3 linked regions of the Canis lupus familiaris genome follow. The protein of the gene in region 1 interacts with the protein of each later gene in a pairwise test. Links are inferred from orthologs where the notes say so. Each region holds a gene or a part of one and is shown on either strand. Other genes may lie near its edges. The genes, in order: CTNND1, ZBTB33 and KCTD6.

Region 1 (3,634 bases):
TCTGCGAGCTCATCTCACCCTCTGGCTCCCATAGGAGAGGAGAATCTATTGTGTGGAACTCTCCAAATAAGCCTGTTGTTTGTTCCACAAAACCCCTCCCACAGTCACCAAAACCTCAAGGTTAGCCAGAGCAAAGAGGCCTTGCCTCTTAGCTGTCAACATCAACCACTCAACAGCAACTCAGATGGACAAATCATATAGTAAAAATCACTATTTTTTAATATCACTGAAACAAAATGAACAGATTATATAGCTACGTTTTAAAAGGAGGCTACTGAACAGTATGTTAAGATTCCAGTTTAGTAGGGGAAAAATAAGGTCAGGGCAGATCTACATGCATAGGAAAAAAGAACTCAAAGCAAGTGCACAAAAATGTTAACCGTAGTTCTTTACCGATGGCCGCTGGTGTACCTTTCTGGGTTTTTCTAGTTTTGTAGTGAGCATGTTTAACTTTCATTATTATTTCAGTATAAGCAATTACAAAAACAACTGTCATAGCCAGGACTTTTGGTCATTCAGTTGTATTATTTCCTTCTTCCATAAGCAGAGGATCTTGACATTCTTTCCTTTGTTTTACAAATAACAAAGCTGTGCCCAGAAAGATTAAATGACTTGCTTGAGGCTATATAGCTAGTGGCAAAGGCACAACTAGAACCAGAAGTCTTCTGGTTCAGTGCTTTTTCCACTAATCATTCTGCCTTACTGTTTCCGTTTGACCTTGTATTACTCTCCTAGGCCTGGAACAGGAAGCAGCTAATGTTCTTGCTAGTCAAGCAGGTTTCCAAGTCCAGTGCCACCCTGGAATGGACCCAAGAACCAGGCCCAAATGCTCTCTTTATGTCAATTGCCAGAGCAGAGAATGACCTGGCCACCCCCACCCACCTAGGTCCAACTCCACTAATGAGGAAGTCAGAAAAGTGGACTTGTTAACAAGCAGACAGGCCACCGCCCTGGGCAGACTCCTTTGGTGATAGCTGTTATCTATCACTGCTTCAAGTCGCACCAGCTGAGGTCTGGTGCCCACTCCACGGCCCCCTCCCCCAATAAAAGGTGAGTCACATGGGAGTTGGACTAGCTGTCCAAATGATACAATACCTAAAAGGTGAATGACTCAGGCTTAGATAATGGGACCTCTACCCGGGGACTAGCCCAGATCGCTATTAACCAAACCTAATAGGAGGTAAAACGAGCACCAAGGAATTTGCTTTAGAAGGTTATGACCCCATATAGAAATTCAGCAACAGCTGCTAGGACAGCTTTAGCACCGAGACATCTGTAAATCTTCTCCTTTCTTTCTTATTATTTTTCCTTGCCTGGAAAACACTAGGTCTCTGATTTATTCTAAAGCAGGACCAGCAGCCTATGGGCCAAACCTGTTTTTGTACAGTCCCAGAACTAAAAATGGGTTTTTAATGTTTTTTAAAGGTTGTAAAAGAACGTTCATACAACAAAAATTATATGTGGCCTGCGAAGCCTATTCAAATAGTTCTATCTGGGATCCCTGGGTGGCTCAGCAGTTTGGCGCCTGTCTTCGGCCCAGAGCATGATCCTGGGGTCCCATGTCAGGCTCCCTGCATGGAGCCTGCTTCTCGCTCTGCCTGTCTCTCTGCCTCTCATGAATAAACAAAATCTTGGGATCCCTGGGTGGCGCAGCGGTTTGGCGCCTGCCTTTGGCCCAGGGCGCGATCCTGGAGACCCGGGATGGAATCCCACGTCAGGCTCCCAGTGCATGGAGCCTGCTTCTCCCTCTGCCTATGTCTCTGCCTCTCTCTCTCTCTGTGACTATCATAAATAAATAAAAATTTAAAAAATAAAAATAATAAAATAAAATAAAAAATAAAAATAAAAAACAAAATCTTAAAAAAAAAAAAACCCACAAATAGTTCTACCTGATCCTTTACAGAAAAGGTTTGCCAACCCCCAATTCCAAAGCATTCTTTCAAGGCAAACCTTCTACCAGCCCCAAAATCAATCACTCCCTTTTTCACATCACCAAAGAATCCCATATGAGTAGTAAAGTCAGAATAGGCAGCTGATTAGTGACCTTCCAGAGTGTCACTAATGTACCACCCTCAAAGGATGCCACCCCCTTTTCACTTTATAACCAAACGTAAAAATCAAAACAGAAAGTTATCAGGGCTTTGGTGAGATCAAGGTTTGTTCTTAACTTGAAATTAAAACCACCATGGGGAGGGCTGTCACATACACCTAACTGTCTACTCTGGCCCTGAAAGCCTAAACCCTCAACCCTGTCTTAATACCAAACCAGATGCTAAAGAAATTCATAGGAGCTAGTGAATATCCCATAGCACCAGGCACCAAGCTCCTTTGTGCTGCTGCTTATCACCAAAAAAGGGGCCAGATCTTAGGCAGAAATAGCAGCAAGGCTTGGCACGAAAGCAAAGGCCACTCTTCAGGATGTAGACCAACAGCCACAAGTCATTAGAATATAGGACTTCCATCATAAAAAAGAAAAAAAGAAAGTCAGTATTTAGTAAAGTCACAAAAGGGAAGACACAAGTGTCTCTGATTAAAAAAAAATACTTAGAAGAAGAAATACTTTTCACTGTCTTGGTAACACCCTTTCTTCCCTACCTGAGTCGTCGGCGAGGATCAGAGGGTGTCCCAGTCCGACGGGCAGTGCCATAATCAGACATCATGCCATAATCCAAATCATCATAGCCCATGCTACGCTGGTCATCCTCTAGCCCATAAGGCTCCGGGTGAAAACGATGCAGATCCACACTGCTCCCACCTACCCGAACCTGGGGCTGAGGCCCATACACATCCTGCCTACTAGGTGCCCGATAACCTTCCATACTGGGCCTGTACCGCTCCTCAATGCGGGTCACCCGGGACAGACTGCCATAGTTGTCACTGCTACCGGGATAACCATCTTCATAATGGCGGCTATATCCATCAGGAGGATAGTGGAAGTTCCTGGGAAGGGTAGCAGTGCCTGCTTGCCCCACATAGGGACCAGGTCCCCCATTGCCATTCTTGCGGAAGTCACGCCCCAAAGTCTGTATATAGTTGTTAGAAACTGATGAGGCATCCACAGGCAGCCCATCTGGTCCCACAGGGACTGGCTGTACTGTCCGTGTTGTCACAGTCTTCACCACTTTCTTGACCTTCACGTAAGGAAAGAGAAAAGTGAACACAATATAAGCCTAAATTCTAGACCTAAGAAATGAAACAAACCCCTATGGCAAGCTCACTTTATCTAGAAATGCCTTACATTTACCACTACCCTTTCTCTCCATCTTATTAGTGCCCAAGCAAGAAATCTGTGCTGGCAGTAACCATGACTATAAGGGAAGCTACTGGCAACCTTGTATATTTCTCTCTTCCTCATTCCATTTGATTTTCCCATATCTCTTCTATCTTTCCTATCTGGCTAGAGATCACTTTCTTTATGCCTTCACTACAGATTAATACCTTTCATCCACCCTAATTAAGTGTTTAATCCCCCACCACCACCACCACCACCAATGAAGACCTTCTCCATCATCCTAGACCTCACACAACTCTCAGCTTACTGTGGTCTCTGTGCGCCGAGTAGTTCCATCATCAGAGGTCTCCACAGAAACGACAGACATAGCTCCCTCAGGGTCCTCCTCTGTGTAGGTCTCCA
Region 2 (4,227 bases), on another chromosome or scaffold:
AAAAGAAAACCAAGAAGTACTCTATCATTCAGAATGTAAGCTGCGGCAACATTAAATAGTGTATTCAAGTTTTAACTGAAGTTTGGCATAACTTTTTTGGCTTGTATGTCAATTGTTCATACAGGCTGGTTTTTGGACCATGCATCAAATCTCATGACTTCCCCCTGAGAAGAGACAAGCGAGTTTTTAATTGATCTACAGATTTGAACGGTAATCTCTTCCTCTGAATCTCAGATACATGCGTCACCACTGAGCAGTTTTTTTAAGATTAGAATTAATTTTCTTAGTTCCACTTTTGGGTTCTGTCCTCAAGAAGACTTGAGAGTTCAGTTTTAACGGTCTTAAAACTTTAAGAAAACTCTTCATCATGAACACACAGAAGTTATTTCACCTGTAAATGAATGATTTCAGTTCAGAAAAGCTTGCTGTGTGCAATATCTATCCTATACTCTTCCTAAATTTTATCTGGTCTTTAAAAATACATTCAGGGGATCCCTGGGTGGCTCAGCAGTTTGGCGCCTGCCTTTGGCCCAGGGCGCGATCCTGGAGTCCCGGGATCGAGTCCCGCATCTGGCTCCCGGCGTGAAGCCTGCTTCTCCCTTCTCCTGTGTCTCTGCCTCTCTCATTCTCTATGTCTATCATAAATAAATAAATCTTAAAAAAAAGAACATCTTTAAAAATACATTCAAAAGCTACTCCCTGCAGCCAATGACTGAATTAGTGTTTATAAACGCTGCCAATTATTACCTTTAGACTGTCAGTTTTCTTTCTTATTTAAATTGGGGTGCCTCATCTAGATAAACTCTGAAACACCTTTTTTACCCTCTCCCCTTTCATCATCTCCTTGCCCCTTCCCCTCACCTCTCTACTCTTACAATCTCCAGAGGTGAAATGTTAGAGTGCCAAGCGAAGTCAACAGATGGTACTGTGAAAAAAAATAAGACAAAGGAAAGGTCACCATTTCTTAATGCTTATTTGCACGAAAACACGAAACATTTCAATTTGTTGGTAAAGAATTAAGTAAAGAATTATGTGCACTGGTAGCAGAACTTTTTTATACCAGATGTGTTAGTGAAAATGAAAACATAAACTTATTGGAAGAGAACAGACAATTACTCTAGAAAAAGGGATGGGGATGTCAGTAAAGAGCAATGCAGTGTACCACCCCCAGAACATTCTATTTTTGGAAGTCACAGAATATATTCCCAGTAACAAGGCCGCTGAGTTGTTGAAAATATATACATATATTAAATATATACTTAATTTTTATATATCTAATTTTTATATTTTTTTACATATATATGAACAACTAGCTGATAAGTACTTTAAGTAGAGAAACACTTTAATTGCCAACATTCTTTCCCTTTAAAGTTACCAAAATAGTGGCACTGTCGTCACAGTGCTTAAGTTATATACACGTGGAAGGTGGGGCGTCTCAAGCATCTTCGAAATTTTCAAAACTGCAGCTTAAAAACAAAAAAGTAGGCAAAAAGTCTAGAAATGACGATTTGAAACATCCGTTAGAAGGCGTTGCTCGTTTAACAGTACCAAGGAATTCCAGGTTACCACCAAGGCATTCATCAGAAAGGGTGACCTTTGGACGGCGAGCCAGCAACCAGGGCTTCCGAAATACGGGGATTTCGACAGAAGTCGCTTTTAAGTAGGTAGATAGGTTTTTTTTTTTTTTAATGCAATTTTTGTCGTTTGCAAATGGACTCTCGGAACGGGGTAATGCAATAAAACGGACGCGTCCAGGTGACACTGGGAATTGGTTTCATTTTGTTGAGATTCCTCCCGCGTCTCCCCGTCAGGGTGGGCCCAGGAACGCCACGAAGCGCTCTGCACCCACCCCCGAGACCTGCGCCCTGCCTACGGAAAAGCCATTCCGCATCCCTGTGAGACAAACCCTTGACTGAGGGCAGGTGAAGGTGGAAAAGAGAGAAACGCCATCCGCGACCGAAGCGAACCGACACGCGGCTCCCTGCGGCAGCTGAACCCCATCTTCCTTACTCCACCCCCTCTTCCCCATTTGCACCCAGCCGGCTGCAGCCGAGGGCTTTTTTTTTTTCACCCCAATTCACGCGAAAAGGCAGCTTCCTGCAAATCCAGATGGAGGTACGAACGACACGGCGAGGGCGGGGGTCCTCGGGCAAGCCGGGGAAAGTAGAAGGTGGCGAACGGGAGGGTGGGGTGCTGGGAGGGGATGAGGCCAAGCAGGCGGCATTGTTGTGCCCTGGGAAGGGGACGGGAGGGGAGGATGGGCCGGGCAGAAAAGCTCTAAATCAAAGTAGGGGCTACGAGGAGAAAAGGAGGCACAAAAAGGCAGGCGGAGGGCTAGGAAAAAGCCAAGTGGGTCCCCGCGGTGGGCTCCCCACGCGCCGGGCCTACCCGGGGCACCGGCTGCCCCTCGGCCCCTGACGGCGGAGGGGACCGCGGCGCGGCCCTCCGGGCTCGTCCCCTCCTTCGCTCCCGGGCCCACACAAAGGAAGGGCCGGAGGAGCGGAGCCTCCGACTCCGCCGCTTCCTGGTTCAAGTGAGGAGAATGCAAACGCAGGCGCGGCCCAGCGACGGAGGCAGCGGGCGCGCTCCCTCGCCCCTCCCGGCGCAGGGCCGGGTCCTCACCTGCTTCCCGGCGCCGCCGCTTCTCCTCGTCGGGCCGCGCGGACGGGTGGGAGCCCTCCAACAACCAGAAGCCAGACTCCGCGGCGATTCGGCTCCTTCTTTAAACGTCGCTCCAGTCTTGGTCGACGTCGACGCGGCTGCCGCCACCGCTGCTACAGCTGCCCCGCGCCGCCGACAGAGGGCACAGCACGGGGACGCAGCGCTGAAGTCGAAGGCGCCCTCCTCCTCCGAGCGCAGTTCGGGTCTTTCCGGAAGGGCCCGAGCTCCTAGCCGCCCCCGTTTCGGCGCCCTGCTCTGCCTTCGGCTCCTTCCGCAGGGGGCGGAGAGAGACTGGGAAGCTCTGGGAGCCTTTCGGCCCTTTCCGGAGGGCGAAAGGGTGGGAAAAAGGGAAGGGAAAGATGGGGTGATGCGGTCCGTCGCAGGCGGCGGGGACGGGAGGGAAGCGAGTCGCCTTCACCGAAATTGGGCGCAAGCTGCTAGGGCGGAAAAACTTTTCGAGACCATATGAGTTTCACTACTTTTGCAAGTTTGAAACTGCCCGATTAGCCCGGATCTTAGACGATGAGCCACCTTGAAATATAACCGGAATAAATATAATCGGGTCGAACTGATCGACTCTGGATGATTCAAGTTAGACGATGACAAGTTAAACGACATTACAGAAACTATTTTTAAGAAATAAATCTAGGACACTAGACAGTTTTCTTAATTGAATACTAGGCGATGCGGTACTATCTTCATTCCTTCGCTTCGACCAGCGTTTACTGACCACGTGTCTGAGCTATACCAAATCTCCGGCTAGGTGCCGTGGAACACAAAAAAGAGTAAACCAGGGTCTCTCCCTTCCCAAAGAGCTCATTAGATGGGTACACAAATGTCGACCAAAGTGTTTTTGTGCAAGGCGTAGAACACAGAGAAGGAAAGCGCAAACTAAATGTCCCCATTTGAGCTGTATCCTGAAACAGGAATAAATGAACACTTGCACTGTTGATTTATTATTTTTACTTTTTACGTAACATTTCCTCCCCAGGGGGTTTTAGCATCTGACACATAGTCGGTGTTCAATAATTGTTTAATGAATGAATAAATGAGTGAGCCGTGGTAATTTTTTAAAACCCTCTGCTAATACACTTCTGCCTGAGTACCATGATAAATGAAGCAACAGAATGGGTGTTTGGAGAGCAAAATCTCTCCCTTCGGGCGGGTTATTTATCGCATCCAACTACGGAGCCAAAATATTAGCTTTTTTTCGTCAACAATTAAGGCCATCCACTACCTTCATTTTCTTAAAAAAAAAAAAAAAGTATAGGATAATATTGCATCCATTCCCCCAAACGTTAATTTGCATCTGTTTACCTTTCAGCCAGAATCCCTGTGCTTCCTTCCTACAAAAATCTTGCTGAAAATGTCCGTCAGGATATTCCAGAATGAAAAAATCACTATATCTAATGTCCTTCAACCTGAAATCAGACAAGAATGTCACCATCGAACCATTCCTAATCTATTTTACATTCTCCTCGATAAAGTAAAGCCACATAGAAAAATACCACAGTGATTGTATTTTCACATGGAAATAAGAAATACACACGAAATTTCTCAGGCTCT
Region 3 (4,376 bases), on another chromosome or scaffold:
AGAATCTACAAGTTATTTTACTAGACAGATTGAGAGTCCTCTAGTTAAAAAAAAGAAAAAAGAAAAAAAGGAGGGGGTACGGGGTAGGAAATTCCTCAAGTTGAACACAGAACTACTATATGATCCAACAATTCCACTTCTAGAGATGATCAAAAGAAATAAAAGCAGGGACTCAGATACTTGCACACCAGTGTTCTTAGCAGCATTATTCACAAATCCCAAAGGTGAAAACACCCACATGTCCATCAACAGACAGAATGGAGGAACAAGATGTGATATATGCATAAGATGGAATATTATTCAACCTTAAACAAAGAAATGAAATTCTGACACATGCTACAACATGAATGAACCTTGAAAACATATGTTAAGTGAAATAAACCGGATATAAAAGGACAAACACTGCAGGATTCCATTTCCAGGACACACCTAGAATAGATAAATTCAAAGGCACAGAAAGTGCCAAAGAGGTTACCGGGAGCAAGAGGGAAATGGGACGTTCGTGTTTAAGGGGTGGAGAGTTTCTGTGTGTGATGGTGATAAAGTTCTGAAGACCGATGGTGGTCATGGTCTCACAACATAGTAAACGGAAGTACTGCCGCTGAATATACACTTTAAAATGGTAAATCTGGTTATGTATATTCTACTTGAAAAATGTAAATGGGGCGGTTGAGGGAGGAAGCGCGAGGTCTAGTTTCCTCAGATCGCCCACAGATTCCAGTGAGCCTGGCCGGGGCGACTTGCTGGTGTGTCCGGCGCTGGGTCGCAACAGAGGCACTCGGAGTCCCACGCAGGATGTGGGAACCCGTGGACCTCAGGGCCCGTGCCGTCCCTGTCCCCACGGCGCAGGCGCGTCCCTCCCGGGATTCGGGCTAGCGCCCAGGCCACCTACCTGCAGCGCCGCCGGCGCCGTCCGGTGGAAGCGCCTCCTCAGCAACCCCGACACCTGGCGAAAAGAGAGAGAGAGGACGCTGAGAGGGGGCGCAAGGCGGGCAGAGACCACGCGGAGGCACGCATGCCGCTGCCTACCTGTTCCAGGGGTCTCCGCATCAGGCCAGACACCGCCGCCATCTTGACCGTGTCCTCCAGCCGCCGCCGAATGACAACACCGCAGGACCGCAGTCGCCTCAGGCTCCGCCTCCCGCGCCAGCTCAGGCCAATGGCAGCGCGCGGCGCCTGCGTGCCCCGCCCATCCGCTGCCGGGTGAGGGGCCGAGGGGCGGGGCCTAGGTGGCGCGTGGGGCGGTACTACCGCTGTTTCTGGGGCCGGGGCCAATCAACTTCCCGGGAGCGGGCGGCTGCTGCGGTGCGCGCTGCGCGGCGGGACGCGTCTGTAAGCGGTGCTGCCTGAGGCGCGGTGCCCGGAAGGCAGGTTCTGAGGAACGTTAGGTTGAGGCTGCGGGGACCTTCAGAGTTGGGTCAGCCTTTTGCGGGCACTGAAACCCGTAGGGCGCCAAGTGTCGCCTGCGCACGCTCTGAACGAGCCCGGTGGTCCCCGGGCCGGACCGTGCTGTCCGTCTGTTGCTCCCTGGAATGCGAACCGGAGTGTTCATCGAGGCATGAAGCGCCTACTGTGTGCCGGGCATCGTAGTAAGTGCTGTCCAGCTCCTGTAATTCTCACAGGAACCCTCCCGCGTGATGACTGTTACCTCCACTTTTCCTCAAGTCACTTCGGGTTGTCAGTCGTCAGAAAGTCCTTCATCCAGAATTTTCAATCTTTTTTTTTGTTTTTTGGTTGGTCATTTCAAGCGAAATGTGTTAAAGAGAGCTTTTCGCTTCCTCGACCACAGTAAAATGCACATTCCCCCACCACCTCAGAAAGTTCCCTCAACGTTTCCTCCCGATCGTTCCCCACACATCACCCCACAGGCAACCACAGATCTGATCGCCATCACCGTAACTTAATTTGCCTGTTTTAGAACTTGACGTAAAGGGAATTCTATCATTCTTGCGTCTCGCTCAGCAACATGTTTTTGTGATTCATCCATGTCGTTAAGTGTATCAATACTTTATTCCTTTTCTTTTTTTTTTTTTTTTCTTTTATATTCTTTATGCCCAACCTGGGGCTTAAACTCATGACCCTGGGATCAAGAGTCCCATGCTCTTCTGAGCCAGCCAGGCACCCCTCCTTTCTTTCTTTAAGTTTTCTTTTCTTTTCTTTTCTTTTGAAAGAGTTTAAGTGTCACAAGAAATTGTGAAACTGGTGCAAAGAGCATCCATGTGACCTTCAACTATCTTTGCCCAATATCTTGGATGACCATAGTACATTGTCAAATCCCCCAAATTGATAACGGTGCAATGCTCTTAACTCGGGTAGAGACTTTATACAGCATTCATCAGTTTTTTTTTTTAAATTTATTTATGATAGTCACAGAGAGAGAGAGAGAGAGGGGCAGAGACACAGGCAGAGGGAGAAGCAGGCTCCATGCAGGGAGCCCGACGTGGGACTCGATCCCGGGTCTCCAGGATCACGCCCTGGGCCAAAGGCAGGCGCCAAACCGCTGCGCCACCCAGGGATCCCCCATTCATCAGTTTTTATATGCATTCTGGCAGGGGTAGGAGGAGTGTAGTATTATAGAATTGTATTAGACGTACAGATTCACATAACTACTACCACAGCCAGAATACAGAATTGTTCCATCCCCACAAAGCACCTCCCTCCTGTTACCTCATTGTTACCTCCTCCACCCCTAACTCCTGGCAACCACTAATCTGTTCTCAATCACTATAATTTGTTATTTCAAGAATATTTCAACACAGAATCGTACAATATGTAACTCTTGGAGATTAGCTATTTCCACTCAGCCTAATGCTCTTGAAATCCATTCCAGTTGTTGCGTGTATCAACGTTTCTTTATATCTCTAAGTGGTTGCATGTTTATCCATTCACTCCTTGAAGGACATTTGGTTTGTATCCAGTTTTAGCTATTACCAATAAACCTGCAATGAACACTGGCTTTTTAAACATTAGTTTTCATTTCTTCAGGTAAATACCGAGCAGTATGATTATATTGGAGTGTTTTTCCACGGTGGCTATACTATTTTTTTTTTTTAAGATTTTATTTGTTCATGAGAGACACAGAGAGGCAGAGACACAGGCAGAGGGAGAAGCAGGCTCCACGCAGGGAGCCCGACATGGGACTGATCCCGGGTCTCCAGGATCACACCCTGGGCCGAAGGCGGCGCTAAACCACTGAGCCACCCAGGCTGCCCCAGAGTGGCTATACCATTTTACATGACCTCCAGCAAAGTATGAGACATCCAGTTGCACTAAATGCTTGCCAGTGTGTGATATTATCAATATTTTCTATTTTAGCCATTGTAATACATGTGTAGCAGTGTCCCTCATGACTTTAATTTACATTTCTCTAATGGTTAATTATTAAACATCTTTTCATATGCTTTTCTGCCATCCATCCTTGATGAAGTGTCTGTTCTTTTGTTCGTATTCTAATTAGATTGGTTTTTATTGTGGTAAAATATATATCACATAAAATTTACCACTTTAAGCATATAGTTCATTGGCATTTAATATGTGCATATTGTTGTTCAATCACCACCACTATCCATTTCCAGAACTTTCTCTCTTTTCTTTTTACTTTTAAATAATCTCTACACCCAGTGTGGGGCATGAATTTAGGATAAGGATCAGGCATGATCCTGAGATCGTAAGTTGCACGCTCTACAGGTGGCTCTACAGCTAGGTACCCCTCCTGAACCTTTTCATTTTCCCAAAAGGAAACTATTCATTAAACAGTAACTCTCCATTTCCGCCTTCCGCTAAGCCCTGGCAATGACCATTCCATCTGTATAAATTGGACTGCTCTACCTCATGTAAGTGAAATCATACAGTATTTGTGTGTGTGAGTGAGTGTGACTAGCTTGTTTCAGTTATTGTAATGTCTTGGAGGATCATCCATATTGTAGCATGTATCAGAATTTCATTCCTGGGCAGCCCCGGTGGCTCAGCGGTTTAATGCTACCTTCAGCCCAGGGTGTGATCCTGGAGACCCGGGTATTGAGTCCCATATCAGGCTCCCTGCGTGGAGCCTGCTTCTCCCTCTGCCTGTGTCTCTGCCTCTCTCTCTCTCTCTCTCTCTCTCTCTCTCTCTGTGTCTCTCATGAATAAATAAATACAATCTTAAAAAAAAAAAAAGAATTTCATTCCTTTCTAAGGTTAAGTAATAGTCCATTGTATGCATATATCCCATTTTGTTTATCCATTTTTCTGTTGATGGACCTCTTGGTTGTTTTCAATGTTTAGATTTGTGAATAATGCTGCTATGAACATTAGTTCACAAATACCTATTTGAGCCCCTACTTTTAATTCTTTGGGGTATAACCTAGAAGTGGCATTGCTGGATCATGTTAATTCTG

The links.
Region 2: the proteins of CTNND1 (region 1) and ZBTB33 interact in binary tests that used the Homo sapiens proteins (3 or more experiments, as listed by UniProt). The link is inferred for Canis lupus familiaris from reciprocal best matches to the Homo sapiens genes CTNND1 and ZBTB33.
Region 3: the proteins of CTNND1 (region 1) and KCTD6 interact in binary tests that used the Homo sapiens proteins (3 or more experiments, as listed by UniProt). The two-hybrid records come from large-scale screens. The link is inferred for Canis lupus familiaris from reciprocal best matches to the Homo sapiens genes CTNND1 and KCTD6.

Annotation. Positions count from the first base shown.
Region 1 is NC_049239.1:38,900,449-38,904,082, forward strand, and holds part of CTNND1 (catenin delta-1), read right to left. Parts: coding exon 3,540-3,634; intron 3,132-3,539; coding exon 2,596-3,131; intron 1-2,595. UniProt on the Homo sapiens protein: Key regulator of cell-cell adhesion that associates with and regulates the cell adhesion properties of both C-, E- and N-cadherins, being critical for their surface stability.
Region 2 is NC_049260.1:92,972,703-92,976,929, reverse strand, and holds the start of ZBTB33 (transcriptional regulator Kaiso), read right to left. Parts: upstream 2,881-4,227; 5' UTR 2,623-2,880; intron 2,470-2,622; exon of another isoform or gene 2,389-2,469; intron 926-2,388; 5' UTR 862-925; intron 1-861. UniProt on the Homo sapiens protein: Transcriptional regulator with bimodal DNA-binding specificity.
Region 3 is NC_049241.1:32,435,033-32,439,408, reverse strand, and holds the start of KCTD6 (BTB/POZ domain-containing protein KCTD6), read left to right. Parts: upstream 1-1,539; 5' UTR 1,540-1,589; intron 1,590-4,376. Other genes in the region: PDHB (pyruvate dehydrogenase E1 component subunit beta, mitochondrial), read right to left, coding at 893-946, 1,030-1,071. UniProt on the Homo sapiens protein: Probable substrate-specific adapter of a BCR (BTB-CUL3-RBX1) E3 ubiquitin-protein ligase complex mediating the ubiquitination and subsequent proteasomal degradation of target proteins.